4 linked regions of the Struthio camelus genome follow. The protein of the gene in region 2 interacts with the protein of the main gene of each other region in a pairwise test. Links are inferred from orthologs where the notes say so. Each region holds a gene or a part of one and is shown on either strand. Other genes may lie near its edges. The genes, in order: CRACR2A, TLE5, PRKAA2 and LMO2.

Region 1 (7,443 bases), on a different chromosome or scaffold from region 2:
GGAAAGAATAATCTGAGCTGGTACATGTATCCAACTCACTTCAGCCCCAAAGCTCCAAGTGAGCGTAACCTGGTTCTCAGTGTGCCTGTCTCTCACTGTGCCTTGTATGGCACAATGAAAAAGCCAACAGGGAAATTACGATTTTGTCACTGTTTGACATTTTTGCCTAGTTCCTTTGCTTGACTTTAGAAAAACTGGGGAAAAAAAATTACTTTCAGCAGGTCTCTCTGAGAGGATACGCTATTGGCAATGGATCACCAGACTGATGGTCTGATGTAAAACATTTGCTGTGTAGACTGGAAACTCTAGGCCTGATCTGGACAGATCTATGTCTGGAGAGAGCTCCAAAGTCTTTAACTGAGTTTCAGTCAGTTTCTCCACGCAGGTGTGCTGCTGTTTCTGCATGGATGAGTCATGAATGGTGGAATCTATTATGCTGTTACTTCAGGTTTAACTTAAACTGATTAAATCTGCCTTTTTAATAAGAAAAAAAAAATCTGAAAAACCCTAACTCCCTCCTTATATGTCGATTTATACAGTCTTACATATTTATTCTGCAAATTAGCAAAGAACGTAGAGGGGAATCTGGGCAGAGTACCATATTCTTTACCCCTCCAAATGGCCACCATTTAGTCATCTGCAAAATCATGAGAACATACCATTTGTCAGTGAACAAAAACAGGAGGATGGAGTGAGAGATCTGCAATAAGCACCATATAAATCCTGTGGGCTGAGGAAACCACACGAAAAGCTTGCATAGTAATGCTGTCTAGTGCATTAACTTCTGCTTCTTTCTTTACAGCTCTTTTCCAGCTCACCACAACATAGGAGGAAAAGGGGGAGGAGAACTGTCTCAAACAGAACGAAGTATATCATCTCCTTCATTTCATCTGCAATGAATTTAAATCTCCATAGATCAGGAGACTAATCCTCCACATTAGGAGACTGTTAACTATTACTGCCCTAAATTTCTTTTGCTACTTAATCAGTGGCCAGAAATGCATCTGGTCCTTGTACTTGAAATACTGACTCTTTTTTTTTTTCATGTTAGTAAACTGTGTTTTGTGTTAGTAAGTTGTATTTAGTGCAGAGAAGACTGACATTTAATTTTCACTCTTTGGGGTGTAATGGTTATCTTCTCAAGTTGAACAACACTGAAGTTCCAAGAGAAGTCTGCGGACCAGATATCTGAGTGCTTAGGACATCCCACAGACAACTGATAAACTTTTACCAATACACCAGAATAATTCATACAACCCAGCTAAAAGGAAAAGTGAAACTAACCTGGAAACTGTGGTTGAAAAACACCAAGTTGCAAAAAGAAAGTAGAAAAGTATTTTAAATTAGTCAGAGTGTGTAACTTTGGAAGAAAGAATTGCTAAAGATTAAAATGCTGAATTTCAGAGGGATTAGACCATTCCCCAACTGCAGCAGTACCCAAGTTTCATTATTTGTGGTCAAAATCTGTTATACTGCTCACATATATTAAGAAGCATAATAGTATCTTGGCAACAAAAAGTTCCTTTATAACTATCATTTAGAATCATCAAAAATGTTCAGTATCAAAAAAGACAGAAAACTAAATCAAATTTAGTTTGACTGGTGGCAAATTACTCTAAGAGAATACAAGCGTCATCTTTGTAACTATCAGCAACAGCATTGCTTTTGGCTTCAGTGAGCGTTTGGTGGGTCTGTCCCCCACCATGAAGGCAGTCACCATCCACAATGCAGGAAGTGTACACTGGAAACCAGCTAGACAGCTCTAAAAGTAACCAGGACAGAACTGATTTCACTGTAACACTGTTCATTTGGCCACAGTGTAAAGCTACATGAGGACTGTAGCAGTAGCACTACAATGAATATCAGTTACAGCGCTCTTGGGTACCACCTTAATAATGTTCTTTATGTAGAAGGAACCACAACATTTCACATTTTAGCATACTTTGATAACTTTCTGAATGTAAGTTTCTTACCCTGTTTTGCCACAGTGTTGGTATAACTACTATGCAGAGAAGGGAAGCAGGGCATACTGGGAAATGCAGTCTCCTGTTTTGCAACACTGTGACTCTAACCTGGTGCCTTCCAGCCAAAGAGTAAGTTTAGGATTAACAAGAAGGGTCAAGGGCTACAGGTGCTGTGTGCAACACTCACAGCAGCTGAAGAATTGCTGCCTCACTACAGCTGCACTGCAGCCAGAGCAGCAGCTGCTTGCTGAGTGAGCAGCTGGGGGTACTTGGCCTCCTCTCCCAGCTTTTCTAGGCTACCTCCTGCCACACACCTCCCACCCATGCTGTAAAAGCAGCCACCACTCCCAGGAGAAGGGGCAGAGATGTTGCTTGGCACTTTGGCACAGGAAAGGCAGTGATAACTGCTATCATTTGTGAGATGCTGCTGATTCCTGCCTGGACCCACCAAGCCTGCAAGGCGTTGTCCTCTCGCAGACAGCCCTGCGCAGGAAGCAAAACTCACAACAGGCACAGCACAGAGAAAGAGCAGGGTGTTATTGAGACACCCTGAATCCGAAGGGAAGGGCAAAGCAGATGCCAGGGGTGCGTTTCCGCCAGCAGCTCAGCTAGAAGGATCTGCCAGCAGCTCTGCCAGAAGGATCTGGCTTTGCACCATCTTCTCCTCCTGTCTCCTCCCCGGACATTCCTGGCCCCAACTCACCTCCTGCTGCTCCCTGCAAGTGCCCAGGCAGAGGTACAATACGATCCCTGCTGGCTGGCCGGTGTGGTCGGCCTTCCCCTGCATGCGCCTCAGCTAGTGTGGAAGTAAGAGCAGAGGAAGGTCAAAACAACTTCCTAAACTTTTCTGGGGCGCGGGTGGCACCATCAACCACGGGCGGGCCGTGCTGCGGGGGCGGGACCGGGGTGAGCCGGCCTCCCCCATCTGCCTGGCAGCGCTGAGCAGCATTGGAGCTCGGTGTCGCGTGGCGCCAAGCGCCCCTGCGGGCTGCCGCAGCGCAGGGCCCCTCTCACCTCCGGCTCGGAAGGGCCGACCCGGAACCACTGCTGGGTCACATTGGAGAGCCGGGGGAACTCCACCAGGCGCTGCCATCCCTGGCTGCACCTGCAGCCAGGACTAAGTGCACAATGGCTTTCTGGGGGAAGTATGTGGTCTTGTCATCTCCATGTAACATAAATTACACAAAACAGAGGGGTTTCGAGGAGTGTGGGACAGCTCATCCACGCAAGATCTTACGATGCAGCTGATGGAAATGGGCCAGCTTCTCAAACTGTCCCAAGTCCAGTTGCCCATGAGGAAGAACAACAAAAGACAGAATTGATTTCACATCCAGTTGATTAGAGATTTCAAGTAGCCTAAAGTACATTTTGAAAAATGTCACACTAGGGTGTGTAAATGTCTGCATCTGGGAGCAGATTCTCTGAGAAGCCCCCTAAAAGAAGAGAAAAAAACTTGATTTAGTTCTCATCACTGCAGATGTCACATCTGCAGAAGAGCTCTTAAGGTATTGTCGTCATGATACATTCCAATTCAGCATATTTGCTACAGCAATTCACCCATTTGTGTTTGACTTCAAAATGAGCATCTTCATGAACCAAGAAATACTTAGAAGGAAATTAAAAGGGACAGCCGAAATAGCAGTACAATAGCAGGTGGCATAAAGATGTTTATAAGTATATAACATAATATAATACATTTAATCATTATATATATAACATCTGCTCAGCCATAAAGGGCTATGAAACAGCCTGCCTCCAAAACCATCTGCCTCCCAAAATTATACATGATTACATAGCAGTATAAAGAAAGCTATCAGAAGTAAAAAGCTCTTCAGAAAGCAGTTGTTTAAAAATAAGAAAAATGGGGGGGGGGGGGGAAGCATAAATCAGCAAGTAAAATCATAAGGACAATTAAGATTTTGGAGAGTAGCTTAGGAACACTCCAGTTAACAGCAAAAACATTATCAAACAAACCAGAAGCACAAGCCTGCTGACAGAATCTGTGGGGCAAGTAGATGATAGAAATAAGGCAAAGTTATGGCCAAAGCCGGAAAAGCTAGATAAATTGATGTTCAGTATGGAAGATCAGATAACGTCCTTTTCTTTATTAAGTATGAAGAACAGTCTTGGGACTGAAGCATTGGTAGGGGAGGCTTTAGAACATAATACAACGAATTGTAACATATCACAAACACCCAAGTGTTCCAAAGGAATTTAAATATGAAAATATTGAACTGTTGGCTAAATCAGTACAGTGCAAAAGGAGTGGAAGATGATGGATATGGTTAACTACTAACCTGTAAAACACCATAATGGACAAGTTATTGACCAAACTAAAAAAGAAAACCAGCAGACGCATGAATCAACATGTTTCAACCATATTCTGTTTTCTCTTCAGATCGTGTAAATCTTTCACCTTTTACTAAAAATTTCCGTGGAGAGGAACAGGCACGAGTGTCAAGGAATTTTTTGAGGTTCTTTGAGCGCAGCTAACAGAGGCAGCGAACAGACGCAGCAGTTTGCGCAGCAGTGTCTGGGCTCTGCCTGGGCCTTTTGTGGGCCTTGCTGGAAGTTGTGGAGACTTTCTGGGGACTCCCGAGGAACTAGACGGTGCTTGCTGCTAGCAGGAAGGGAGAGCTAGGCAAGGACTCCTGCAGGGGGCCTTAACTTCTCCTGGGAAGCTCTAGGTAGGTGTGGCTGCTGCTAACGAGCTCTCTGGGCTGCCCTGGTCAGAGGGAGTTGGGGCTTTTGTTTCAGGTGGCTCCTGATTGGGTGGGTCAAGCACCCTTGTGAGTCACTGCTAGGCAGAGGCCTATATAAGAGCCAGGCCTAAAGTGCAGCTCCTGGAGTGCAGCCAACAGAGGCAGCAGTTTGCGCAGAGGATGTCAGAAGGCAAAGAAGGCACCTTCATTTCTTGTAGTAGTGTGTGCTTCCTCAAGTATGGTCATGACGCCGCAGAGCACATTCCCCAGTGGCTGTTGGAGTTGCTACATCACCCGTGTCTGAGGCTTCAACCCAGACAGACCCTCTGACAGGTGTCAGGCTGCAGGGAGTACCTAGGGTCTTTCTATAAGGCCTGAGCTGACAGCCAGCTCTCGTGCGCGAGGTGTACTGTGGTTGATCAGTTGTACTGCCAGGTAAAGGAGTTATGGGAGGAAGTCAGTAGGCTGTGTAGCATCTGAGAAGATGAGCAAGAGATTGACAGGGTATTCTCGGAGACTGTGCAGCTCCAGGAGTCATCGGTACATCATAACGCTGTTGAGGAGGGCTGGAAGCTGGTGACCTCTCGTAGAAGGGGAAAGGCTCTTGCTCCTCCTCAAGAGTTATCCTTGAAGAACAAGTTTAGCGCCCCCCCCCCCCCCCCCCACGCTGAGGAGGAGCTGGGCATGGCTCTGAGGGAGGCAACGGGCCTGGCAGACCCTGTGTCGTGCAGGAACCCCCGGAAGAAGCGGCGAGTGATTGCTGTGGGAGACTGCCTGCTGCAGGGGACAGAGGCACCTATCTGTCGACCTGACCTCTTGTCCAGAGAGGTTTGCTGCCTGCCAGGGGCTCGAACAAGAGCTGTCATGGAAAGACTGCCAAGGCTTGTCCATGCATCAGACTACTACCCTCTGCTGATCTTCCATGTGGACACTAATGACACCAAGGGCAAACTGGAAGCCATCAGACAGGATTTCAGAGCTCTGGGAATGGTGGTGAAGGGTCTGGGAGCCCAGGTCATTTTCTCCTCAATCTTGCCTGTGAGGGGGAAGGATGGGAGGAGGAGTAGATGGATTTTCCAAGTCAACAACTGGCTGCGCCTGTGGTGTTGCCAGCAGGGTTTTGGTTTCTATGACCATGGGACCCTGTTTGAAGATCAACAGCTGATGGGGAGCGATGGGATCCAGCTTACCAAGCGGGGCACACGCGTCTTTGCCAACAGGTTGGCCAGCCTGGTAAGGAGGGCTTTAAACTAGGCAAGATGGGGGAAGGGGAGTGGTATAGTGGCAGGGGAGTCGGTAAAACACCGCTTGAGTCAGGATGCCTCCAGCGGGTGCATACAGCCAGGGGAGGCGGCCTGGAACATGGCTATGGAGGCTCCTCTTGCACCTCTCCTGGGAAGCTTGCGTGCTTGATTAATTCTCTGAAATGCCTGTACACCAATGCGCGCAGCATGGGGAATAAGCAGGAAGAGCTAGAGATCTGTGTGCGGTCACAGGGCCATGATCTCGTTGCAGTTACAGAGACATGGTGGGATAGTTCACGGGACTGGGATGCTGTCCTGGATGGCTACGTGCTTTTTAGGCAAGACAGGCCAGGAAGGCGAGGTGGTGGAGTTGCTCTTTATGTGAGGGAGCAACTGGAATGTGTGGAGCTCTGCCTCGGGGTGGATGGAGAGCAAGTTGAGAGCCTATGGGTAAGGCTTAAAAGGCAGGCTAACATGGGTGACACAGTGGTGGGGGTTTACTACAGGCCACCTGACCAGGAGAAAGTTGTCAATGAGGCCTTCTTCCGACAGCTGGAAGTAGCCTCACGATTGCAGGCCCTAAGTTCTCATGGGAGACTTCAACGACCCTGACATCTGCTGGGAAGACAGCACAGCTAGGCACAAGCAGTCAAAGAGGTTCCTGCAGAGCATTCAGGATAACTTCTTGACCCGGGTGGTGGAGACGCCAACGAGGAGGGGTGCAACGCTAGCCCTTGTACTAACAAACAAAGAAGGTCTAGTTGGAGAGGTGAAGGTTGGGGGCAGCCTTGGCTGCGGTGACCGTGAGATGGTGGAGTTCAGGATCCTGCGAGGAGGGAGCAAGGCAATGAGTAGGATTGCAACGCTGGACTTCAGGAGCGCTAACTTTGGCCTCTTGAGGGACCTACTTAGGGGAATCTCGTGGGGTAGGGCCCTAGAAGGAAGAGGGGTCCAGGAGAGCTGGTTAATATTCAAGCATCACCCTCCTCCAGGCTCAAGATGGGTGCATCCCTCTGAGGAAGAAGTCGAGCAAAGCGGGCAGGAGACCTGCATGGCTGAGCAAGGAGCTCCTGGCAAAACTCCAGCAGAAGAAGGAAGTGTACAGAATGTGGCAAAGGGGACAGGCCACTTGGGAGGAATACAGGGACGTTGTCAGAGTGTGCAGGGCTGCGACAAGGAAGGCTAAGGCCCATTTGGAATTAAGCCTGGCAAGGGATGTCGAGAGGACAACAAGAAGGGCTTCTTCAAATACATCAATAGCAAAAGGAAGACTAGGGAAAATGTTGGCCTGCTGCTGAATGGGGTGGGTGCCCTAATAACAAAGGACACAGAGAAAGCAGAGATACTGAATGCCTTCTTTGCTTTGGTATTTACTGCTAAGGCCAGTCCTCAGGAATTCCAGATCCTGGAGATGAGACAAAGTCTGGAGAAAGGAAGACTCTCCCTTGGTGGAGGAGGATCAGGTTAGAGATCTTTTGTCTAAACTTGACATCCATAAATCCATGGGCCCCAATGGAATACACCCATGAGTGC
Region 2 (7,099 bases):
CCACGGCTGGAGCGGGATATCATATCTGAATAATTTACAAAGGCTCTTCATTAAACGGATTTATTTTCAGCAGCTTGGTTAGGCTGTTCCCTTCAGGAGCGACGGGGAAGTTGCTCAGCCTGGTTTGGACGTTGTCGCGCAATCGCTCCTGCCGGCCACGCCGGGAACAGCGCAGGGCCCAGGGGGCCCGGCCGGACCCCACTGCTGGCCGAGGGGGGCGGTGTGGGAGGGACCGGCCCCGCAGCCTCCCGGCACTGCCGTCCCCGCAGCAGACAAAAACACCGGGGAGCTGCTGCCGGCTCCCGGAGCGCCCTGGAAAACCTCCGCTCCCGGAGCCCGGGCTGCCGTGGGCTCTGGGAATCCCCCGGCGAGGGCCTGCTTTTGGGCTGCTCGGGGCCAGGCTTTCCCGGGGCCGAGTCCACCCCTGCCGACGTGCGGACCCATCGCTTGGGTGAGATTATAATTCCCCCCTTTGAGATGCAGATTCCTCAGCCTGCTGGTAACGGAGCCTATTAAAATGTCACTTACGAGGCACAAGCAGGTTTGTGTTCCCCTGGATTGAGATTTGCCAAGATTATGCCATAAATTAGCGTGTTTCCTGGAAGAAAGCAAGGAGAGAAAAAACATAAAGTGGAACATTTTGTAGCCAACATAAAAGCCCATAAAGGAACGTTTCATTTTCCTCTTGGAAGGGAGCAACTGCAAGCAGCTCTGAACCCGCCCGGGGTGGACGGGCAGCGGGGCTGCGTGATGGGGACGCAGGGTGGCGGGTCCCGTGGGGACGGCGTGGCTCGGGGGTGCGGGGTGCCCGGTCCCGTCACCCGTCCCCCCCCACGGTCACGGCCCCCGGCCCTTGCCCAGGGCTGGGTCGGAGCCGCTGCCGGGTGCAGGCAGCATCGCAGGGGCAGCGCTGCCATGCTGGAGCAAAGCTTCGCGCTGACGGCCCAGCACCGTGGAAGAGTTCTTCTGCCTCATCTTTTGGGAAGTTTAATCTGCTCTTATAATGATTATTGTTGCTCGTGGAAGTTCGTAAACTGCAGGAGGAGCCTGGTCCCATTTCCATCAAGGACAAACACCTCGCGGCGCTGGCAGCACCATCCCTGGGGAAACATCTGCTCTTTCAGGTTGTTTTGTGGCAGCTTTGCTGCTTTATCTCAGCTGGAAAAAATTCCACTCCTGTTGAAAAAGGAACTGTAAGGTCTGCAGGAGCACTTGCCGCACAGGAAGGAGCAGGGGAGAGGCAAGACGAGGGCTGCGGCTCGCAGCTGGGGGGTGCGTGCGTAGCCCAGGCTGGTCGGGCAGGACAGTGGCCCGGGAGGCCTCACCCTGCCGTGCGTCTCCGCCTGCATCGCTACCAAACCTGCAGCGTCCCGGGGGCGAAAGTGGAGGGAGCAGCCACCTGCGACACGGCACGGCACGGTGCGACACAGCACGGCACGGTGTGACACGGCACGGCACGGTGCGACACGGCACAGCACGGTGTGACACGGCACGGCACGGCACGGTGTGACACGGCACGGCACGGCACGGTGCGACACAGCACGGCACGGTGTGACACGGCACGGCACGGCACGGTGTGACACGGCACGGCACGGTGCGACACGGCACGGCACAGTGTGACACGGCACGGCACGGTGCAACACGGCACGGCACGGCACAGTGCAACGGCACACAGCACGGTGTGGCCCGACACGGCACAGCACCATCCCTCAGCGCCTCCCACGGGCAAACAGTCTGCCAAACGGGAAAAACAGCCCTGCCTCGCAGTGAGGGGCCACCTCCTCCTGCGCGCACGCTCGATGGGTGGCACGGGGTAGCCGACGTCACGGCCCAGGCCTCGGCCCGCCGCGGCGATAGAAGAGGTCTGCTCTTCCGAACTTGCAGCCCACGGGAGCAGCAAGGAGGGCCTGCGCCAAAGGGGGTTTATTAAAGGGAGCAAGTTAGAACAAGATGGGAGCCGCGCCGCCCCGGCTGCCGACGCGCGGTTTGGACCACGGCGCTTGCACGCTGCACGGCCTCTTGGCGCTTAACTTACTCGCCGACGCGGTAGCTATAAAACAGCCGAGGGGAAGCAGGGCTCCGTCGAGGGGCCGCCGCGGCCCCGGCCGAGCCCCCGCGCGGCGCCCCGGCTTCGCAGGGGGCCGGGACCCCCGCTTCGCCGCCCCCGGGCTGCGGAGGCGCCGGGCCCGCCTGCGCCGCTGACAGTCCTCGGCGCGGAGCTGTCACCGCTGCCTCCAGCACGGAGACGGCGAAGGAAAAAAGCCACCGCGCCGCACGCAGGAGGTGTCACAATAACTCGGCTGCTATATTGTTCTCTTTAAAAATAAACACCGCCACAGCCCAGCCCGCGTCGCTGGAGTCATGACGTCCGGGCTTTTATTTTTAATCAGAAAGCGTGCTGATTTTTAAAGCTAGAGGCAGAGCAGCCTCTGAAGGTGGCGAGAGCTCCCCGCGCGCTCCGGCACACGAGCTCCCTCCTGCCCGCGGCCGCCGGTGGGTCCCGGCCCCGGTCCCGGCCCCGGCGCGCCGAGCAGGACGGAGCCGGGGGAACCGCCGGCAGCACCCGCGGCGGCGCCGGCTCGGCCGTGAAGCCTCGGCACGCGGCGAGCTCGGCCGGACCGGAGCCCTCGGAGCGCTCGCGCCGGCGGGCTGCACCCTGGCCGGCCCCGGCAGGAGGCACGGCCGAAAGAAAGCAAAAGGAAAACCCTGCGCAAACAAGCCCTGCTCTCCCACTCGGAGGGCGCGAACGCGGGCCAGGCGCGATGGTGCCGCCCCAGGCCCGCGGCTGGGACCGGCGCGAAGCCGAGGCGGCTGCAGGGCCTCCTCCCTCCGGCGCCCGTTTCCCCGCGCGACCGGGGAGCCGCGAGAACCGGCGCTGCTGCGCGGGCTGGGGCCCTTCCGGCCCAGGCGCTGCAGGAGGCGGGAAGTTTTGGTGCGCAGCAAAAGCTGGCGCTGCCCCGAGCACCCACACCGGCTGGCGGGACCCCAGCCCTGGCGGGACCCCCAGCTCCAGGGGACCCCAGTGCCAGCGGGACCCCCAGCTCCAGGGGACCCCAGTGCCAGTGGGACCCCCACCCCAGCAGGACCCCCAGCCCCAGTGGACCCCCAACTCCAGGGGACCCCAGCCCCAGTGGGACCCCAGCCCTGGAGGAGACCCCAGCCCCAGCGGGACCCCAGCCCCAGCAGGACCCCCAGCCCCAGGGGACCCCCAGCTCCAGGGGACCCCAGTGCCAGTGGGACCCCCACCCCAGCAGGACCCCCACCCCAGCAGGACCCCCAGCCCCAGGGGACCCCCAGCTCCAGGGGACCCCAGCCCCAGTGGGACCCCCACCCCAGCAGGACCCCCAGCCCCAGTGGACCCCCAGCTCCAGGGGACCCCAGCCCCAGCGGGACCCCAGCCCCAGCAGGACCCCCAGCCCCAGTGGACCCCCAGCTCCAGGGGACCCCAGTGCCAGCGGGACCCCCACCCCAGCAGGACCCCCAGCCCCAGCGGGACCCCCAGCCCCAGGGGATCCCAGCCCCGGGGCAGAGCCGGGCACCGCCAGCGGCCTCCGCGGGGCCTGGAGCTCGGGGCCGCCAAGGCCGGCGCCGCTCCCACGTGCCCTGCTCGGGGCTCGGGGCTGCCGGGGCCGGGGCTGAGGCCGGGGCCGGGCAGGGCAGGGCCGGGGCCGGGGCCGGGGCTGAGGCCGGGGCCGGGGCTCGGGGCTGCTGGGGCTCGGGCTGGGGCTTGGGGCTGCCAGGGCCGGGCAGGGCCGGGGCCGGGGCTCGGGGCTGCAGGGGCGGGGGCCGCCGGGGCCGGGGCCGGGGCCGGGGCTCGGGGCTGCTGGGGCCGGCGCGGCGGGGGCGGGCGCGGCGGGGGCGGGGGCGGCTCTGGGCCCGCCCGGCCCGGGGAGGCGGCGGCGGCGGCAGGTGGTGCCGAGCAGCCGCAGGACGGAGCCGGAGCCGGAGCCGGAGCCGGAGCAGCAGCCGCCATTAGACAATAGGCGCCGGCGGCGGGAGCGGCGCGGGCGAGCGGGCGGCCGGGGCGGGGCGGCCGCGGGGGCGGGGCGGCCGGGCCCGGCGCGGACAAAGGCGGCGGCGGCGGCCCAGGCCCAGGGCGCCGCGGCGGCGGCGGCAGCGGGCGGGCGGGCGGCGGCGGCGGCGGCGGCGGCAGCAGCAGCGGGCCGCTCCGTGCGGGGCCGAGCCGCAGCCTGACATGATGTTTCCACAAAGCCGGCACTCGGTACGGCGGGGCCGGGCCCGGCCGGGGGGTCTGGGGGGTCTGGGGGCGGCGCAGGGCCCGTGAAGGACGGCGGGGGGCCGGGGGTGGTGGGGGGGCTGGGGGCCGAGGGGCAGAGCTGTTGTGAGGGGGGGCTGGGGGTCCGGGGGGTGCTGGGGTCCGGGGGGGGCAGAGCTGCTGGGGGGTGCTGGGGTCCGGGGGGGGCAGAGCTGCCGGGGGGTGCTGGGGGTCCGGGGGGTGCTGGGGGTCCGGGGGGTGCTGGGGTCTGGGGGGTGCTGGGGTCCGGGGGGGGCAGAGCTGCTGGGGGGTGCTGGGGGTCCGGGGGTGCTGGGGTCCGGGGGGGGGCAGAGCTGCTGGGGGGTGCTGGGGGTCCGGGGGGTGCTGGGGGTCCGGGGGGTGCTGGGGGTCCGGGGGGGCAGAGCTGTTGTGAGGGGTGCTGGAGGTCCGGGGGGTGCTGGGGTCCGGGGGGTGCTGGGGTCCGGGGGGTGCTGGGGTCCGGGGGGTGCTGGGGGTCCGGGGGGGCAGAGCTGCCGGGGGGTGCTGGAGGTCCGGGGGGTGCTGGGGTCCGGGGGGGGGCAGAGCTGCTGGGGGGTGCTGGGGGTCCGGGGGGGCAGAGCTGCCGGGGGGGGGGGGGGCTGGGGGTCCGAGGGGACGGTGGAGCCCCGAGGGCGGTTCTGGCGAGCCGGGGCGCGGGCCAGGGCGCCCCGGGGGTGACGCGCGCCGTGTCCCAGCGGCTGCCTCTGCGCCTCCATGTTCTGGCGGAGCGGCTGCAGCGCTCCCGGCCCCGGCATCCCGCGCTCGCTCGGGGGCTCTTGCTGCAACGTCTCTCCCCCCCGCGGTGCTGGCAGGAGCCCTCGTTGCCTCCCGATCTGACTGGCTGACTGCCTCCTCGCCGCAGCGAGGAGCGAGCGGGAGGCTTTGCGGGGGGTCTCCTCCCCCTTCCCGAGCCCTGGCCCCCCATCCCTCCGCCAGGGCGTTCCGCACAGTCCTGGCTCCCGTTCGCGCGTGGGGTGTTTGTTGTTTGCAGAGATGCCCTGGTTACTGTCTCTGTGCAGTTGTTAAGGAAGGCGGCGGGTGGCTTTGTGGTTAGAGCCCTGGGACTTGTTCCCAGCTGAGGGAGAGGACAGCTTGGGGGGATGAGATGCGAGCAAGAGATGTGGGTCCCAGCCCCAGGAGGAGCTTCCTCCCGCTTCCGTTTCCCTGTCTGTAGTGCAAGGTGACTGTGGAGATAAAACCTGGAAAAGGGACCCTGGCCAAACTTCTGCGTCCGAGTTCCCACAGGTGACCTTGGGCATGTCCCCCTGGCCTGACCATGCTGTTTCCCCAGGAGGGCCCTTGGGGGTGTCACCTCCTTCTCTGTCTCCTCGTGGCAGCTTCCGTCCTGCTTTTAAAATGATCTGTGCTCCTGGTTAGATGTACCGCTGAAAAAGCAAATCTGTGCTTTAGTGTCTGTGGGATGCGTGGTGGGATCAGGCCAGCACAGGCACCTCTAGGTAGCTGAGAAGGAAACTGTGCTCGTGGGAAGGAGCATGTGTTGGCTTCCCTTCCCACCCCTGCATTTGCTCAGTGCCCAGCGCTCTTTCATGTGTTGTTCAAGGGCTCCTCTCACCTGCCACAACAGCTGAAGTTCACAACCTCTGACTCCTGCGACCGGATCAAAGATGAGTTCCAGCTCCTGCAGGCCCAGTATCACAGGTGGGTGCTCCTGTGTGTCACAGGTCCCAGTGTCCTCCACACTTTTGTCTTGGGACAGGGAACTCTGAGCATTGCTCTCCATAGAGCTAAGAACCATTAGAAGCGCCCACGGGTGCCTGTACCCTGGGTAGTGCCGTCCTGGGCGCTGGTTGGTGGGATATACCCTGCAGGAACTTGATGACCTGTGTCAGGTCATCAAGGACCCCCCTCCCCTCACCTTCTGGGGGGACTTTCTCCACAAGAGAGGAGGAGCTTGCTGCGCCCATCCTGGGCTCCCCAGGGACAACTGCACTGAGTGCTCAGCAGATTTACTGCTGGGCTGACAAGCAGTGGCAAGACGTAGAAGAATCACTTTGATTCTTCTGCTCCATTGCCTTGCAGTGTGGACCGAACTGGAACACTAAGGGAGGGACTTGATCGTACAGCTCGGGTCATGTTTGTCTAAAATGGGACCTCAGGGAAGGGATTAATCATGTCCGCTTAGGAGCCTAGAGAGGAGAATGTTCAATCTTCCCTCTCCAGCCAAGGACTTCCCTCTGTGTGTTGCTCAGCCAGGACTGCACAGAGGCTTGCCAGGCCTCCCATGTCTTGCTGGGAGTTTCTCCTCGGTTCTTCTCGCTGGCTGCCATTCTTGGATTACAAATGCTGCAGGGAGCACTTAAATCCAAATGCTTCCGCTTTTGTGCATGTGAGAGTGGAAATACTTCTGCTGACCTGAAAGTTGGCTTGTGATGGTTTGTTGCTTTTTGTGTGTGTGTTTATTTAAGAAACACAAAACTCTGAGCTTAAATCAACTCAGTGATGCCCTCTGTCATGGTCTAGCAGGCCTCTAGACCTGGTTGTAGCATGTGCCTCTGTGGCCACGGTGCTATGGCAGTTTGTGTAGCCCTGCTGTGCCTTTATGTACCTTTCACCTTGGCCTGGGCTCTGCCAGACAACTGGGTCATAGGTTTGTAGTCATGTCATTCTGGCAGAAGGCAATCAGAGTAACAGCTTAGAAATGGCTATTTCCTGGATTCCCTCCGCCTCTGAGCAGTGCCAGTGATGGAACAGGAAGCCTCAAGAAATATGTCCACTGGAAGGGAGGCTTTCCCCCCCGCCACCGCACTTGGACGTAATCTGCTAGAAGAGAAACAGGTTTTGTGTAGGTGAAGCTGTTTCTTGTTTGAAACATAAAACCACAGC
Region 3 (7,806 bases), on a different chromosome or scaffold from region 2:
ACAAGTTTGAGGGCGCAGGGCGAGAACTTTTTTCCTATCAATCAGCTGCCTATTCCAGCCCTTATCGTAGCCCTAAGTTAAACATGAAATCAAGGGAAAGCATATATTTAGCAAAGCTGTATTAATTCTGTCCCACTGCCATTTGCTTAAACCTTATATCATCCTTCCCTTCATCTGTTTGGTCTCTTTAAATTTATTATCCCTGGTTGTCCGTCAGTAGCAATTATATAGTGCCTTGGAAAAGGGGATCTGACCCTGCTCAAGCCCAAAGGTACCAAAATAATAACCAACGCACACATATCACCAAAGAAATATAGGCCCTTGAGGGACCACAAAATTGATCACCTTGGTGACCAGCAAGCGTGGGGACAGAAACCACCAAGTGGCCACCCAGGACTTCATGCGTGATACCACATGAAAAAATATTTGCATTACTCAGCTGTATTTTGATTGAAACTCTCAAAGCAGCAACCACCATGAACTCCATCGTGCAACCTCTGTGGTCGCAGGGAGAGCAATGGGGTGGGATATGCCTAAGGAAAACACAGGAGCAATTTATCTCATCCGTTCTTAATCTCACCATGCTAACGAGTGAGGTACCACCCTCTTCCTTCCATGCTTCACTCAATGTAAAAGCCAAGAGAATTCCCTTACAGCCACCTGAATTTTATTTCCTGCAAGTTAATCTCCAAAATCCTGCTCTCATCTACCAGGTGCTTTGCTCTCCTCGCCTTGCATGTGCCAGCGCCAGCACTTGCGTGGTCTCCCCCTGCAAGAGGGTCGCAATGACTTTTTCTGTAGCAGCTCTGGTTTCTGATGGCTTCAAGTGACTACTCAGCTACAGCCACAAATTCAAGCTGTGGTTAGTACAGCAATTTCACAACCCCCTTCCTCCCTGCTTCTAATGCCATTTTCTTTTTCCTTAATGACTGTAATCTAATTTATGATTTCTTAACTTTGGAGGGTGAGGCAGGAAACCCTGCTTCTCACAAAGTCTAGTGCGAGCCAGAGTTTGAAGAAAAAACAGCAGCAAAAAAAAAAAAAAAGTAACTGATGGCATCTCCCTCCATAGTTAAAAAATCCAACAGGCAGAATCTCTTTGTTTTGTTTCACGTTTCCTGCTAAACAGGATGAATTCAGGGTATTCTAATGCTGTTTTGATTAAGATGCTATAATGCCATATAAACAGCAGATCTAGTTTCTTCATCTAAGTTTCCAGTCTCAAGTCCAAATTTCGTCTGTCAAACGCAGACTGATGTTACAGGCAACATGCTGAGGAAAAGAATATATATGTGTATAGGGTACCACTTAACCATAACTGATTTTGAGTTAGGAAATCTCCTTTATTTTAAATGTCTCTTTGGAAACTGTCAGGTTTTACAAAAATCGGGCTATATACAGCGTGTGCGTGGTGTTCATGCTAGCTAGTTGAGAAAGGTAGCTAAGAGAAAAGGCTACTGTTGGCAGGCTTAACTTGTTCTGTAGGGGGAAAAAATTGCCTTTGGAGCACTTTTGGAGCTCTGCTCGTACACATGAGTGATTTACATGGTCCTCACTGTTAGAAGTATTTATTCTGATAATTCTTTAGGCAGTGGATTTGTGGGTTTAGATGAAACAGAGTAATATATTTTTAGGGGTCTGATTAATGGTCACGGGTGGATTTAGCTCCAGTGGTGGAGGTGGCTCCTCTCCCCTGCTGTCAGTTTTGGTTTATTTTAATGCCGCAGTCCCTGAGCGTGTGCACATCACCCGTTTGACCAGCCACAGGATGCCGCCGGTAACTCCAGCAGCAGGGCAGGGTGCACAGCGGAGGGTGGTAGCTGCTCTGCCAGCCGTACCTAAATCATCAGTCACAGCTCTTTGTTTTGCTTAGATGCAAGTTTTGTACAGTATCTTTGATTTTTTTAACTTGGTTCAAAGGTAACAGTTGCATGCAACAGAATTAAATAGAAAAAGAAATACAAATCTTTGCAAATCTTCCAGTCAGGTAAAGTAAAGCTGGTGCTTTACGTGAAAATGAGAGTTGTCTCCTTGCTGGCGTGAACCACGCGGGAAACCCTGTGTGTGAATGAAGCCTGACCCAAGTTCTCCACCGCTCCTGCCTCAGGCCTTGTCTCCCCCTGCCCCGTGAGAGTGGCTTCCCGCGCTCCCAGCAAGGCTGTTGGCTTCCCAGGGCGAGAGGTACCGCGACAGCAGAAGAAACCCCTTCTGCTCCCGGTTCCTGCCACCCGCCCGGCTGCGAAGCGCTTGTCCCCCCTTTCCCAAAACCAGCAGAGCGGCCCCAGAGGGATGGGGACGCGCGGGCTCCTGCCCGAGGCGCGCGCTGCCGCTCATCCTTTGCGTCCATCACCCTGCCGCGAAGAAGGAAAGTTTGCAGGGGTGTGAGGCAGGCGCTCGGGGGGACGAGGAGGGCAGCAGCTCGCAGGGACCGTCCGGCCGCTCGAGGGAGAGCGCGGGTGCCGCCCGCGAGCCCCGCACCCCGTCTGCCCCGGCAGAAGCGTCCTGCGCTCGGCGCGTGCCACGAGCCCCCGCGGCCGAGGGGCTGCGCGCCCCGCGGGATGCTCCGTGCCCCGCGGGATGCTGCGCGCCCCGCGGGACGGGCCGGGCCGGGCCGGGCCGCGGCCGCCGAGCGCGCTCCGCGCTGCGCCCGCCGCCCCGGAGAGCCGCGCGCGCAGGCCGCGCCGAGGCGCGGAGCGGGGCCGCGCACCGCGCCGGCAGGCGGCGGCGGAGGAGCCGGGCCCGCGGGTGCGTGCGCGGAGCGGCCCCCGGGGAGGGGAGCGGGGAAAGAGGGCGGGGGGGGGGGAGCCGCGGAGGGGGCGCGGAGCCAGCGCTCCCCCCCCCTCCCCGCGCCGCGCCGCCCGCCCTGCCCACCGCGGCCGCGGTACTCAGCTCTTGACTTTGCCGAAGGTGCCGACCCCCAGGGTGTCGCCCAGCACGTAGTGGCCGATCTTCACCCGCCCGTCGTGCTTCTGCTTCTCGGCCATGTTCGCCCCCCGCGGCCGGACCACAATGCACAGGGCCGGCCGGGCGCGGTGCGGCGCGGCGGCGGCGGCGGGGCGGGCGCAGCGGGGCGCCGCGAGGCCACGGTGGGGGGCGGCGGCGGCCTCCTCGGGGGGCACCTGCCGTGGGGGGTGACATCTACCGGGGGTGACACCCTTCCGGGAGTGACACCTGCCTTGGGGGTGATGCTCTCCTCCCGGAGGGGTGGGGGGGATGCCCTCCGTACCGTGCGCTCTCCGTGGGATGGTCCCTCCTTAGGGCACACCTGGCTCTGGGTGGCGGCCAGCTTGGGGTGCACCTGCCCAGGGTGACACCCTCCTGGGAGTGACAGCCAGGGTGATGCTCTCCTAGGGCTGTGTCCTCCTTCTGGTGCACCCTGCTTGGGACGATCCCTCCTAAAGGCACACCCAGCTGGGGATGGTAGCGAGCTTGGGGTGTATCTGCCTGGGGTGGCACCCTCCTGGGAGTGACACACCCCTGAGGGTGACATGCTCCTTGGGGTGTATCTGCCTGGGGTGACACCCTCCTGGGAGTGACACACCCCTGAGGGTGACATGCTCCTTGGGGTGCATCTGCCTGGGGTGACACCCTCCTGGGAGTGACACACCCCTGAGGGTGACATGCTCCTTGGGGTGCACCTGCCCAGGGTTCGGGATGGGGCCTTAGGGCTGGAGAGCCTGCCCACCTAGGAGGGATGTCGTGGGGTGGGGGCATGGTGCAGCTCCTGCCCTGTGGGGCCCAGCCCCAGTTCTGGCGGGAGATGAGGTGGGAGGGTGGACAGGGCTGGTCACAGCGCAATAATGGGGATGGTGATGGGATGAGGGACACTGGACACGTGGTGGCAGGACTGGGCAGGCTGGCAAAATTCAGCGTTGGAGCAGTTGGATGGCAGCGTGGTGCTGAGTGCAGAGCAGTGGTGGTGCCAGGTCTCGGGACCCTGCCGCATTGAGGCAGGACGATGGACCTGTGGATGTCTCCATGCTGCCTTTCACCTGTCTGCAAGCAGCGGAGCTTGAGCACACGTGAGTGTGTTCACACGAGCGTGGCTGGGACCGGCTGCGTTTGGGTTGGTGGTAGCACTACCACCCCGGGCAGCTGTCAGGCGTTGCATTGCGTGGTGGTGGTCAATAAGTGGTACTCGCTTGGCAAAGCAGACACAGGAGCTTTCTTGTTGGTCAAAACTATATTAACATAAAGGAGCAAAACAGGTTCAAGGGGAAGGACACATCGATACATTGATAGCTGGTGCGGCCAGCTGAAACCATCTATACCTGCTCACAGCGCTTCCCTCTTCGCAGCTCCCCTACACGGACACCAAAGCTGGCCTTTGGGTCACCACCTTCTCTGTCTCCCTTTTTGCTTTTCTTCTCCTCCGCCGTTATGTTCTGTTCATGTCAGCTGTTTCTCATTAGTTGCATCTTTGCATTCTTCCCCACTCTGAAATTACCTTCTGACCACCCCCAGGTCCTTCCTGGAGCCCTTCTTCTCCTCATCTTGACTGGGAAGCCCATTCTGGTTTTCTCCTTCCCCTCACCTCCCTCTTCCCAGGCACTCCGGCAGGGGCAGGTCTCCAAGGGAAGTGGTTGGTGTGAGGGGCTGGTCGGGGGCTCTACTCCAAGTGGCTGTAGCCGGGCTTGGCGCCCGCATGCCCCTTCGGGACTGCCCCGTGTTTCTCACTCAGGCTTCTGGGGGAGGACTCTGGCTGGGGAACTCCAAACCCACGCCGTATTGTGGACCCACGTGCAGTAAGTGAGGCCGACCGGGAGCCTCGTTCCAACCTTGCACTTAAACCTTACTGTAGACACATGCTGCGAGTTGCTCGGGGCAGACGTAACAAATGTTCCCGTGAGCTAACAGCTCGTCCTAATACCAGCGTTATCCATTCTTTATCGTTCAGCCCTGCGACAGCCTGCAGTCAGATAGGGTAATGCTATACATTAAATAATAACACAGCTGCTCTAGGCAGGCTACCTTTTCTCTCTAGAATTTCTACCTTGTTAGAAATGTAGTCTGGAAAAAAAATATGTGAAGCGAACACCCGCTTAGTGATCCCAACTCTCCTCTCTAATGAACGTTTCCTCCTTTTCACTCATCAAGACAACTGCAACCCAGAAAAGAAAACTCTCGCCATGCTCCGCAGCACCAGAGCTTGGCAAGCAGCCGGCACAGGAGCTTTCGGCATAAGGGGCTGGCATGAGGCCACAGCTGGTGTCACATCCCTGGTGCTGGGGCAGGCAGGCCATCGGCAAAGGCCGAGCAGGGGCTCTGGATCTCCGGGCCGGAGCAAATTGGAGCCGTTCCCCTGCTCAGAGGGTGTAAGGTTGCAGGGCTCAACCTGAAGCACCAGCACCAGGGAGCTGTGCTGGGTGAGGGGTTTAACTGTTTGTGTAGGAGCTCAAACCTGTTTCTCCTCCAAGCAATCGTCTGCTTGACATTTTCAGATGAAAGTCCAGAAAGTTGATTAAGCAAATCTGGACATTCTCCATAATCTTCTAAACAGGGCATATGAACTTTGCCTGGGCCGCACAAACAGATCGTGTTGAAAAACATGCATGCTCATCCTAACCACGCAGCATGTTTGAACACTAGTCTTTTAAACCTATTTGGAGAGTAGTATTGTTTTAATAGTGCTAATTCCGATTTCTTCAATATTAAACTTTCTCATTCAGTCACAAGAAATAGCAGAAGGCAGGCGCGAAGGCAATCCACACTGTGAAACAGCGAGGAGATATTTGGGAAGTCAGAATGGGAAGCTGTATAAACAAAAGATACCTGATAAAATAATGACGAGCCTATGCAGCTATACCATGGTAAATAATCAGAAGATGATTTAATTCAACAGATCCAATAATACAAATAACAGTGGCAGAGTAGAAACAAGAAAGCTGATATAATACAAAACCATATGTACTGTAATGAAACCACATCTGTTTAATCAGAGTGATAGACCTACAATAAAGCATAAGAGAAACAGCACTTAAAAATAACATTAGTGTTTTCTTGTCTAAAGCTTACTGTCTCCTGCAAAGCCTATGAAAATGCTGTCGTCTTTAGGCACCTGGGTAAGTATGGGTCTGTGCAAGTCTGCACCTTGCAAAAGCCTCCAGCAGCTCTTTCCTGTCTTTGCGCACAGGAGTCCGTGCGGCTTGTCCGATCTGTTTGCTTCCAGCCTTGGCAAGCCCTGGCTTTGCCCTAGTGGAGCACCGCAACAAATAGGTGAGGTCTCACATGGTATTTCTTGACCTCCTTTTATATTTGAACGGAGCTGCTGTATGTAAATGTGCTATGTTACCCCTTGCTCATTGCCTAAAAGCTGGTGACTAAATCACCCCACGGACGTGCCTCATGGTGCATCATGAGCATTTCTGCAACCCATTCCCCACCTACCAGTTAATGCAGCCGTACGCTGTGTGCAGTTAATACAGCGCAGTCCCCACATCTGCAGTGTCATTTGTCTGCGAAACACGCTCATATATATACCTTAACCCTTCCTTAGCATTTTTTACACTGCTGGAAAACACACTCTATACTAGAGTATAGCCTGAGTAACCAGGCTGATACAACCTGGTCAAAGCCCAGCAGCGAGGAGCTTCCTTGGTACGCACCAGCTACTTCTTTACCTTGTTACTCAGTAATCCATTATGCACACAGAAGTTGTTTAATAGAAATGTTGAATTAAGATTGTGCAATCAATTTTTTTTTAATTTAAAGGCTATATTTTGTGTGTTTAAGGTTGTATTTGTGTGTGCGACTGTATAGATACATATGTAGATATATCTCGTGCCCCAGTGGGGAAGGGAGGTGTGTTGCTAGCAGCACGGCAACAGGCACGAGATGAAGGGTCTCGAGTAAAACGTGTGAGGTGGGAGAAGTGTTGCTAGGAGATGCAGACTCCAGTGTCTGGCGAAGCAGCATTTTTATTTTTGGTGTAGATCAAATGAAATGTCATTTGACTGCGAAGCAGGATAGAAATCTCTTCCCCTTGCTTGCCTTCATCTCGGTGAATGATCCGTCCGTGCCTGGTGGTGTTGCAGCTTGTTTAAAATAGAAATCAAATGCAAGCTGGGTGCTGTTAATTAAATGCTAATGTAACCATGCCTCCTAGGAGCATCCCAGTTAAAGAGTGTATCTGAGCTGCAATTTCTTTGCAATCCCTTGGGCTTTTATTTATTTATTTTATAATTATTTTTTTCCCTCCACTCTTGGACAAATCCCTTGCTGAAGCAGCGGGATATATGTATGTCTCAGTGTGTTTGGGACAGAGCTACAAAGCCTCACGCATGTGAAATGCCTCCTGTGCAGGGCTTGCTCTCTGCCCTCGTTTCGTGATGCTGAGTAGGGGTGTGATTTCTCGGTCCTGCCGGAGCTGAGCTTCTGGGCAAGTCCCAACGCAGCAGGAGAGGGAAACTCTCCTGCACTGGGGAGCAATTAGACCGCACCTTTAGGATGTGGGGTGCTCGCAGATGCGCTCTCCCTTCGGCGGATGGGAACCGTGGGAGTGCCAGCAGCTCTGGCGGAGGCTCGCTCCGTTCTGGCGTGCGCTCGAGTTTTGCTGGTGCTGTTCTCGGGCACCAAACGCCCTCCAGGCAGTGGGCAAGGGACTTTCTAGGTGACGCAGGGCCAAGGAGCAGGATGCTGAGGACTTGGGTCTGTGCCCAGACGGAGCTGGGTGCTGCTTGCAGCAGTGCTGGCTCCTGTCCCTGGTGCGGAGCCGGCAGAAGGGCTCCTACACAAGCGCCTGGAGCAGATACCCCACTTTTCGAAGGGTTTCAGTTTGGTACCTGGAACCTCTGCACTCATTTAGCA
Region 4 (7,799 bases), on a different chromosome or scaffold from region 2:
GATAAAGCAGTAATTTTCTTCAAATCAACTTTCTTAAGGAGCTCTCTTCCTTGCCTCTTCGTGTAATGTTATAGCTTCTGCCAAAAAAGATCAGCAAAAATTAAAGGAAAGCATCTGAGCTCAGTTCTGCAAGGTTTGCAATGACCTGACACTGCCACTGAGGGCCTCATCCAAACCCCAGGGAAGTTAATAAAAAGACTATTGGATCAATCCTTTAAGCACTTGCTTAATTTTAAACCTGTGGCTAGTGACAAGGAAGTCACTTGTTTGTACATTTATGCTTGTCTGCTTTGCTGGATCTTGACCAAGGAGCTCAATGACTGGCAGATGTAGCCCCAAATTGTTTAAGACATTGTTCAGTTCTTGCTGTCGCACACTGTCTGTCAATGCTTTGTTTCTGTCGCTGTTCTGTCCTCCTTCAGGCTGGTGAGGGCAGAGTGCAACTACACCAACAGAAAAGAATCAGGCTACACCGAGTTTCCAGCAGGCCATAGGAAAAATTATTTTACTACTGCTTCAAGTGGGTTTATGTAGACTGTTGTCAAAGCTTATTTACTGGGTCAGCAGTTTTCTAGGCAAAAATTACTTTCTTCAGCATGCAGAAATGACCAGCAGTTGAAAACTTCCATGCTGAGAAACTGATCCTGCAGTTTCTATTTAGACAAGCTGAGCTCTAAGATATTATCTGATTATATCCCATTCTGTTTTTCACTCTCCAAAGTTTAAACTGCTGTGCCCTAAAAGTTTTCTTATAATATCCCACCCTTCTAGCTCTCTGTACCGTGCGTTTGCATTAAAATTGTAGGCTGTCTGCTCTTAGAATCATGGTAAGTGATCAGGCCCCACTTTTTCAAAGTTTATTCCACATGCTTCCCTTCCTAATGTGTGGGCTACCCACGGACAAGCTCTGAGAGCCTTCCAATAGAACATGCAACTGTAAAGGAATAGACATTATTATCCTTTATTTGAAGCTTCAGATGTACCCCAAAATCTTTAATCTTATAGATGGTTCAGGAATCACTAGCCAGTCTCTGAATGCCCTAAAGTCCGGAACAGCCTGACGGATGTTTACGCGGAACAGAATTTCTGTTTTAAGCATTAGCATTTTGATGTTCATACATTGTAAAGCCAGTACTTAGTCAATAGAACACAAAGTAGGTAAATAAATAAATACGGCTAAAACTTTTGTAGTTCAAACCTGGATGCCATATACCTGGGAAGTTAGGATGATCATTTCTTAAAAACAATATGAAATAAAAAATGTAACAAATGCAAAACATCAAATGTGACATGGCATGAACTGATTTAATCCACATAAGAAACACTTCATGTGTTCACTTGTGGCTTCAAGGGAAGGGCCCAAGTGAAACAAATCGGAAATGACTAAAGTTCACTAAGAGTAATGTTTTAAGCCTTATCTGAAAATGGGGATTTTACAATGTTTTTCTTCTCTCTTATCATGATGCTAGACATCTGTAACTGCAGTTATTCAAATGTACAGCGCTGAAGTGACGTGGTGGTACTCTGAGTGAACGTGCCTCTTGCAAGTATGGTGACTGCATGTGCTTGGATTCGGAAGGGATGGGACGGCTGCTGAACACAGATTGAAAAAGAGGGTCATAATGTGGGAGTCAGTCCCTGCCATGAATGTGAAAAATAGGGAGGAAAATTCTCATCTTCTGCATCCTTCCCGTCAATCAAGTCTTTGTACATGGCCAGTGCCTTTGCAGAACACCCTGCCCCCACCAAAGCAGTTCGTACAAGCTCTTGAAAGTTGCAAAGTGCCTCGCATCATGAAAATGTGGAAGTTGGGCACCCATCAGATAACAGCTCCGACCTTTCGCTGTAATCAGCTACAGCGAGTTGGACAGATCAAACATGGGGCAGAGAGCGAGGCTCAAAATGAAGACAAGTTAAGCTCTGGAAAGCATTATGCCCTCCGTCTCCCCCAGTCGTTCCCCGCAGCCCTGCATCCCGAGACCGGGCGGAAAATGCCCTGCCCCGTGCGGGATTGCGCCCGGAGGTTGCTCCCAGCGGGTATTTCCCAGAACTTGGGGGCTCCGATCAACTCAACGTGGGGCCGGGGCCGCCGGCCGCACCCGCAGCCCGCGGAGGCGCCGGCGGCTCGGGCAGCCCGGCCGCCGCCGCCCGCCCCGGGCCCGGGCTGGAGCTGCCACCGGGGGCTGCGGCGCCGGCTGCCGCCCGGGGCTGTTAGGCGGGGCTGCCGCCCGCGGCTGGCGGCCGGCGCGGCGCGGCTTCCCTCCCGCGGGGCGCCTGCAAGCCGGGGCAAAGAGCGGCGGGCTGCTGTGCTTCCGAGCCCCCTTGCCCGCCGCCGGGAAGGGACGCCCCAAGCAGCTCGCCGGGGCTGACACACACAATGACGGTGGTGAGGGAGCTCGTAAAGTCCCTGCCGAGCGCGCCTCAGCGCTGGGGAGGATCAAAAGGCACGGGAAGGGCTGGGGAGGCTGAAAGAAAAGAAGCCACTTACTCGGAAGGATCGAGGCTTTTCCTCTCGATGGCCGATGACATTGGCAGGGATGGCTCCTTTGTAGTGTGCCTGTGGTGGGATCTGCCCCCGCTGCCCCCGCAAAGGCTGTCTGCTCTTGAAGCCTTTTCACCAGCTGAGTTCCCCCTCCGCCCCCCAATGACATTCACAGGATTTCCTCCTGCAACACCAAAGAGAGAAAGAAATATGGGCTGGGGCTGCTGCCGCCGCGGCCGCCGTGCTGCGGGCTGCGTCTCCGCCAGGCTGACCCTTAGGATCTAACCTCCCATGCTTGCCCCGCTCCTGCGGCGCGCTGGGCGGCGGGCAGCTCCCGCCGCTGCGGCTGGCCCCGCCGGCGGCCGCCGCCTGCCGCGGCCGCCGCTGCTGCCTACCCCGCGGCTCCCTCCGCTGCGCTGCGCTGCGCTGCGCTCCGCTCAGGCTCGCTGCCTGGGCAGCTCTGAACGTGCTCGGGAGAGGGGCGCATCGGCTGCGAACGTGGAGACCAGCATCATTATTATTACTCTAGCTCAGCCCCGAGTCTCTGGTTTCATTTCCTTTTTCCTGATCACGATTCAAATACAATAGAAGGAAATCGCACTTAAAGAGACAGCTGCCCATTTCTTAACTGGACTCCGGGGGATTTAGCAATACAAACAGCAGCATCACGACTCAGTCGGTTTCTTAAAGAGACAGAGCTCGTCTCCCCAGAGCTAGGGCTGGGAGCTGACTTTGCATTTTCACAGTACGCTCTAATTTAGGAATACTTTATCAGTAAACCGGGGGTGCCCGGATAGTCGTGTAACCTGAAAATGATCCGAAGGGCTTAAAAAATTCAAATGTCTGGCTCCATCTTTATTGGCCTCTTAGCTCCACACATTACCAAAGCACTAGCGTCGTGGTCTCTCTTCTCTTCCTCTCCTTCTCTTACCTATGCACATACCCACACGCACTCATGCTTTTGTACAGTATTTGAGATCTATGCATAAAGACACTAGGTAAGAAGCTAAGTATTATTTTCTACCTAGGATTCAAATGGGCCAGCTAAACTGTACCTGTCTCATTTCTTACTCTATAGTGAACATTTATGGGTGTCTACTCCTAGGTGTCCCCACCTAGTTCTTGGTAAGTCATATAACAAATTTATATCTTGATGCTGTTTGATGGTAATGAGCTGTAAAAGCTCGAGAGTACAAAGTATTGATCTGTAATTAATCACAGAGAAGCTAAAGATGGGAAAGTCTTGCTTGAACATCTCTATTTCCCCTCCTAGCCTTCCTCCCCCCTCCTCTCCGTCAGCACAGCACATCCCGGAAAGGACTGATTTACAGTGCTAGAGTGAACACTATTACAGCAATTATAGCTTTTTTCCATTCTCTGTGGCATTAGATACTGGCCATAGCTGGCGGCAAAATACTGGATGAGATGAATTGCCTGCCCTGTTAATTCTTTTAGATACAGTAAGAAAGATCTGTAATAAAGCACTAGTGAATAGCAGTAGAAATACTTACCTTCTATATTAATTCCCAGATCGGAAATATATTTGATGTCTGTTTTTATGACTAGATTCTCATTTTTTCAGCTTTTTTTGGCAGCTAGGGATATAATATCTGAAATACATTAATGAGCCTGATTCAAAGACTAGTGATGTCAGCAGAACTGTTACTCATTTCAGGGGGCTTTTAACCAAGCTCTCACAATTCTTCAGAGCCATCACTGGTCATTAGAACACTTATTCTTCAAAAAAGAATTTGTATCCTTTAAGAAAGATTTCTTATTCTTTAAAAAAAAGATAAATAAAACAGAAAAGATAAAGAAGGTCAATAAAAAGATATATAAAAAAGATAAAGGAGATTCTTATATTTTAAAAAAGTTATCGCCACTGTATTTTAAGCTATTACAGTATGGCAGTCACACTTATAACCAAATGTTTTTGTTAAAGGAAAAAGCTTCTTTGTTAGAAATATTTAACCACGGGGAACTTTATTAAGAAGGTTTAAAGAGATCAGAAATTGAATTTAATGGGGGACCAAAAACTTGTATAAAGACTTCAAACACTTAAAAAAGAAAGACAGTTCTGTGAGCTTGGTGTCTCCTGGCTGTGTCTTAAGGTCTAATAAGGTATAAACTCCGAGTCACATTGGCAGGCTAATTGCAGTCTCTCCCTTCTACTTATTTTCCTCAAATTTGCAGGAAATTAATATCTTTAAGACTTCTGTCACTCTGTCTATCTAAAAGAGACCAACTGGTTCAAAAGTTTTGGTGAGGGATAGACACGTAGACATTGACACATAAGGAATTACTTTCTTCCTTAGAAAAACAACCTAAAACCAAGGAGGTAAAAGATAAAGTGGCCAGTGATTACTGGAATATGTAATTTTTCAATCTTTTGCAACACCTATATTCCTCGATTTGATCAGGCTCACTGAGGTCTGGCAGATAACCTCACTGAAGCTAATGAGATATTTCATATACTCAAAGTTGAGTGCATGTTTACGTGCTTTGCTGGACAGGGCAAGAATGCTTCATGCCTTGCAAGATCAATCCCTTAACTGAAGGAAGCTTTTCTACCTAAAACAATGGAATAGTGTGTAAATAAAGGAGCTGAAGAGCACTATTTGCTCATATTTTGTCATCCTTTCAGTCAGGTGCAGAGCTTGGCTGAGGCTTTCAGATCCAGAACAAACTTCCTAAGGAAAGTCAGTTCTTCAGGTGGATACTACTTTTGATAGTGCTGATATCTCTGCATGCTTCCGAGAGATACCACTTCTCTGCTTGTCTGAAAAGATGTGTAGTGATGACCCCAAGATTATTCGTTGTTTTCTTTCTTTCCTATAAAGGAGAGATGCTAGGCAAAGTAGTGTGAGAAGAACTAGGAAAAGTGAAAAAGTAGTCAATTTGCTGGTACATAACATAATAAATGTGTTGCTCCACTGTGCTTATTGGGAGAGTGCTTGAACTCAATCTGCTTAAACAAACAGTAATCAGGAAATACTGCATGAGCTGTAAAGTTGTCATGGTACCTTGAACAAACTGCACAGCAAAGACGCAAGGTAACACTTGGCTCCATGCATCAGGTGGAATTTCAAACTAAACCAAAAGCTTGCTTTGCAAGCATCAGTGTGGCAGAAGATAAACAGAAACTGCCAGGAAGCAGTGTCCTCTACTGATGGGTATGTACCAAACTGTTGTTGGTTTTTCGCCTGAATGGAATTTCTGTAAGCACCTTTTCTTCAAACTTTCTGTGGTGGTATTTATTGGCAGCTCCAAGTGCACTAACAGTAGAAAGCCCACCAAGAAGGTTCTCTGCATTCTAACCTAGGAACTGTTTTTTCCAACATCTTTTGGGGAAGGAAAATGTATTATTTTCTGGGACAATTCAAATTTTCTTTTATTAGGTTTATATATAATAGACCCTCGCTCTGGGCAGTGAAACTTGGCATCTTCACCAGAGGAGTCTTGTGTTCCACCAGAACAGGTGACCAGTAATCAAGAGTGGCTTCTTTTTTTCAACTTGGGAGAGTCCCTTAGTACCTCTGTGCCTCAATTTTCCCATCTGTAAATGTTTACTTCCCTCAACAGAATCTGTGGTTGATTTACTTTTGCCTCCCGCAGAATTAGGCTCATAAAGACAAAACATTATTCAGTTTTAGTATTTGTGGTGCCTACATTTCCTGCATAGGGACAAAAAGACTAGTACTATTTTTAGTGGGGGATTTTCTTTCCATTGTCCCTTTCTCTGCGAGGCTGTGTTTTCCAGTTCTATTTAGTGCAGCTTTTTATATTCATTGACAGACTGAGGGATGAATGTTGATTTCAATTAACTTTTATGAATGTAGATCATACTATAGGCAAATTCTTGGAGCATTACTAATATCAAATCCAGTGTTATTGTTTGCATTTAGCTTTCAGTGCTTGCAATAAAATGTTGTGAATAATTTGACTAGACTTTTCTGTATATTTCTCAGTAAGACTATTTTATGTAAACCTGCATTGTTTCTAGGAGTGATGTCATTGAAACAAATAACTAAATGTGCCTCTTTCCAAAGAAACATCCCCTCTTGAAACTGCTGAATGTTTTCACCTTTGTTTTGGAACTCTGCTCATTTGAGGTCCCAGGATTCCCTCTTGTGCTCAGTCTCCGGTTGTTCCTGCCCTTATTTCATCTTTAGTATATCCTAGCTTTATTTCCCCTAGAGCTGATGGATGTCGGTATTGAACTATTGAACTATTTCAGCTCACTCGCATTTGGAGAAGTCTGAGAATAGTAAGATTAACTTTGCTGCCCTCAATAGTCAGTAATGTTTGTTGCCTAAAATGCAGCTGATGAAGATTTAAGTCTCTGCACAGACACAAGAATTAAATCTCAATGACTGTGGTCTAGATTTTCTGTTAGTACTTGCTATGGGGTAGAAAAGTCAAGACCATGGCTAGAGTCTAATGATTAATATGAGAGGTGGGGACGAAAGAGAGATAATGACCTCTGTAATCTTGGCTCTGTTTTGCCACTTTGATCTACCATATGATGTTCAAAAAGTCACTGCTCCATTTGATTCCTCAGTTTACCTATTTGCAAAATGGAAGAATTCTTCCTCCTTCTCACCACAAGCTGAGCTGAAGCTTTGGCATAATGAGGTCTTTGGTTGACGTTCCAAAGAAATGTAAAGTTGTTTTTTCTTTGGGTTTTTTGAACACCATTTTGATACTCTAAAACAAGTTGGGAGGCTCTGAAGCAATTATGTTTGTTCATGTCTGGTCCCTATTAAAGAATACAGAATACTTGAGGAGAAATATCAGTCAGCTACTGCTGAGGACATTTGACTGGAGAATCAATGCTGGATCAATAGCAAATCATATTGCTGCCATGTTGCAGCAGCAGTGCATTGCAGAAGTGAAAGGCAACACATAATACAATAAAAATACATTTTTTGCTTTTTCATGGGCATGGAAAACTCTTTTTTAGGCAAGAAGTTATGTTACATGTGTTCTCTCCACGAGCGCTGCTTTTTCATATGCAAGACTACATCTTTTTCCTAGTTGTACTAGGAGCTCCCTGCTAGCATTCTTTTTAACTTTCCTGGGGATAGAAGTGGTGATAGCAAGGACAGGGAGTTTTCCTGGAGTGAAGACCATAGGCACTAACCTTAATGTCTCTGGAGGCTCTCAGTAAGGCATGATTTAGAGGACTTAAAGACTCCTGACTAAGGATGCACTTCTCTTTTTTGGGGTTAACCTTTCCTTTGAACTGGAAAGAAACAAACCAGAACAATAAAAACCACACTTAGGGTGAGGTTTGCCCTAGGATTGTGAAGTTCAG

Evidence for each region.
Region 1: the proteins of TLE5 (region 2) and CRACR2A interact in binary tests that used the Homo sapiens proteins (3 or more experiments, as listed by UniProt). The two-hybrid records come from large-scale screens. The link is inferred for Struthio camelus from reciprocal best matches to the Homo sapiens genes TLE5 and CRACR2A.
Region 3: the proteins of TLE5 (region 2) and PRKAA2 interact in binary tests that used the Homo sapiens proteins (3 or more experiments, as listed by UniProt). The two-hybrid records come from large-scale screens. The link is inferred for Struthio camelus from reciprocal best matches to the Homo sapiens genes TLE5 and PRKAA2.
Region 4: the proteins of TLE5 (region 2) and LMO2 interact in binary tests that used the Homo sapiens proteins (3 or more experiments, as listed by UniProt). The two-hybrid records come from large-scale screens. The link is inferred for Struthio camelus from reciprocal best matches to the Homo sapiens genes TLE5 and LMO2.

What each region holds. Positions count from the first base shown.
Region 1 is NC_090942.1:87,986,233-87,993,675, forward strand, and holds the start of CRACR2A (EF-hand calcium-binding domain-containing protein 4B), read right to left. Parts: upstream 3,011-7,443; 5' UTR 2,668-3,010; intron 1-2,667.
Region 2 is NC_090967.1:7,814,062-7,821,160, reverse strand, and holds the start of TLE5 (TLE family member 5), read left to right. Parts: upstream 1-4,093; 5' UTR 4,094-4,195; coding exon 4,196-4,222; intron 4,223-5,816; coding exon 5,817-5,914; intron 5,915-7,099. UniProt on the Homo sapiens protein: Transcriptional corepressor. Acts as a dominant repressor towards other family members. Inhibits NF-kappa-B-regulated gene expression. May be required for the initiation and maintenance of the differentiated state.
Region 3 is NC_090949.1:33,363,466-33,371,271, reverse strand, and holds the start of PRKAA2 (5'-AMP-activated protein kinase catalytic subunit alpha-2), read right to left. Parts: upstream 3,008-7,806; 5' UTR 2,985-3,007; coding exon 2,891-2,984; intron 1,762-2,890; exon of another isoform or gene 1-1,761. UniProt on the Homo sapiens protein: Catalytic subunit of AMP-activated protein kinase (AMPK), an energy sensor protein kinase that plays a key role in regulating cellular energy metabolism.
Region 4 is NC_090946.1:33,638,152-33,645,950, forward strand, and holds the start of LMO2 (rhombotin-2), read right to left. Parts: upstream 3,018-7,799; 5' UTR 2,776-3,017; coding exon 2,769-2,775; intron 2,667-2,768; coding exon 2,489-2,666; intron 1-2,488. UniProt on the Homo sapiens protein: Acts with TAL1/SCL to regulate red blood cell development. Also acts with LDB1 to maintain erythroid precursors in an immature state.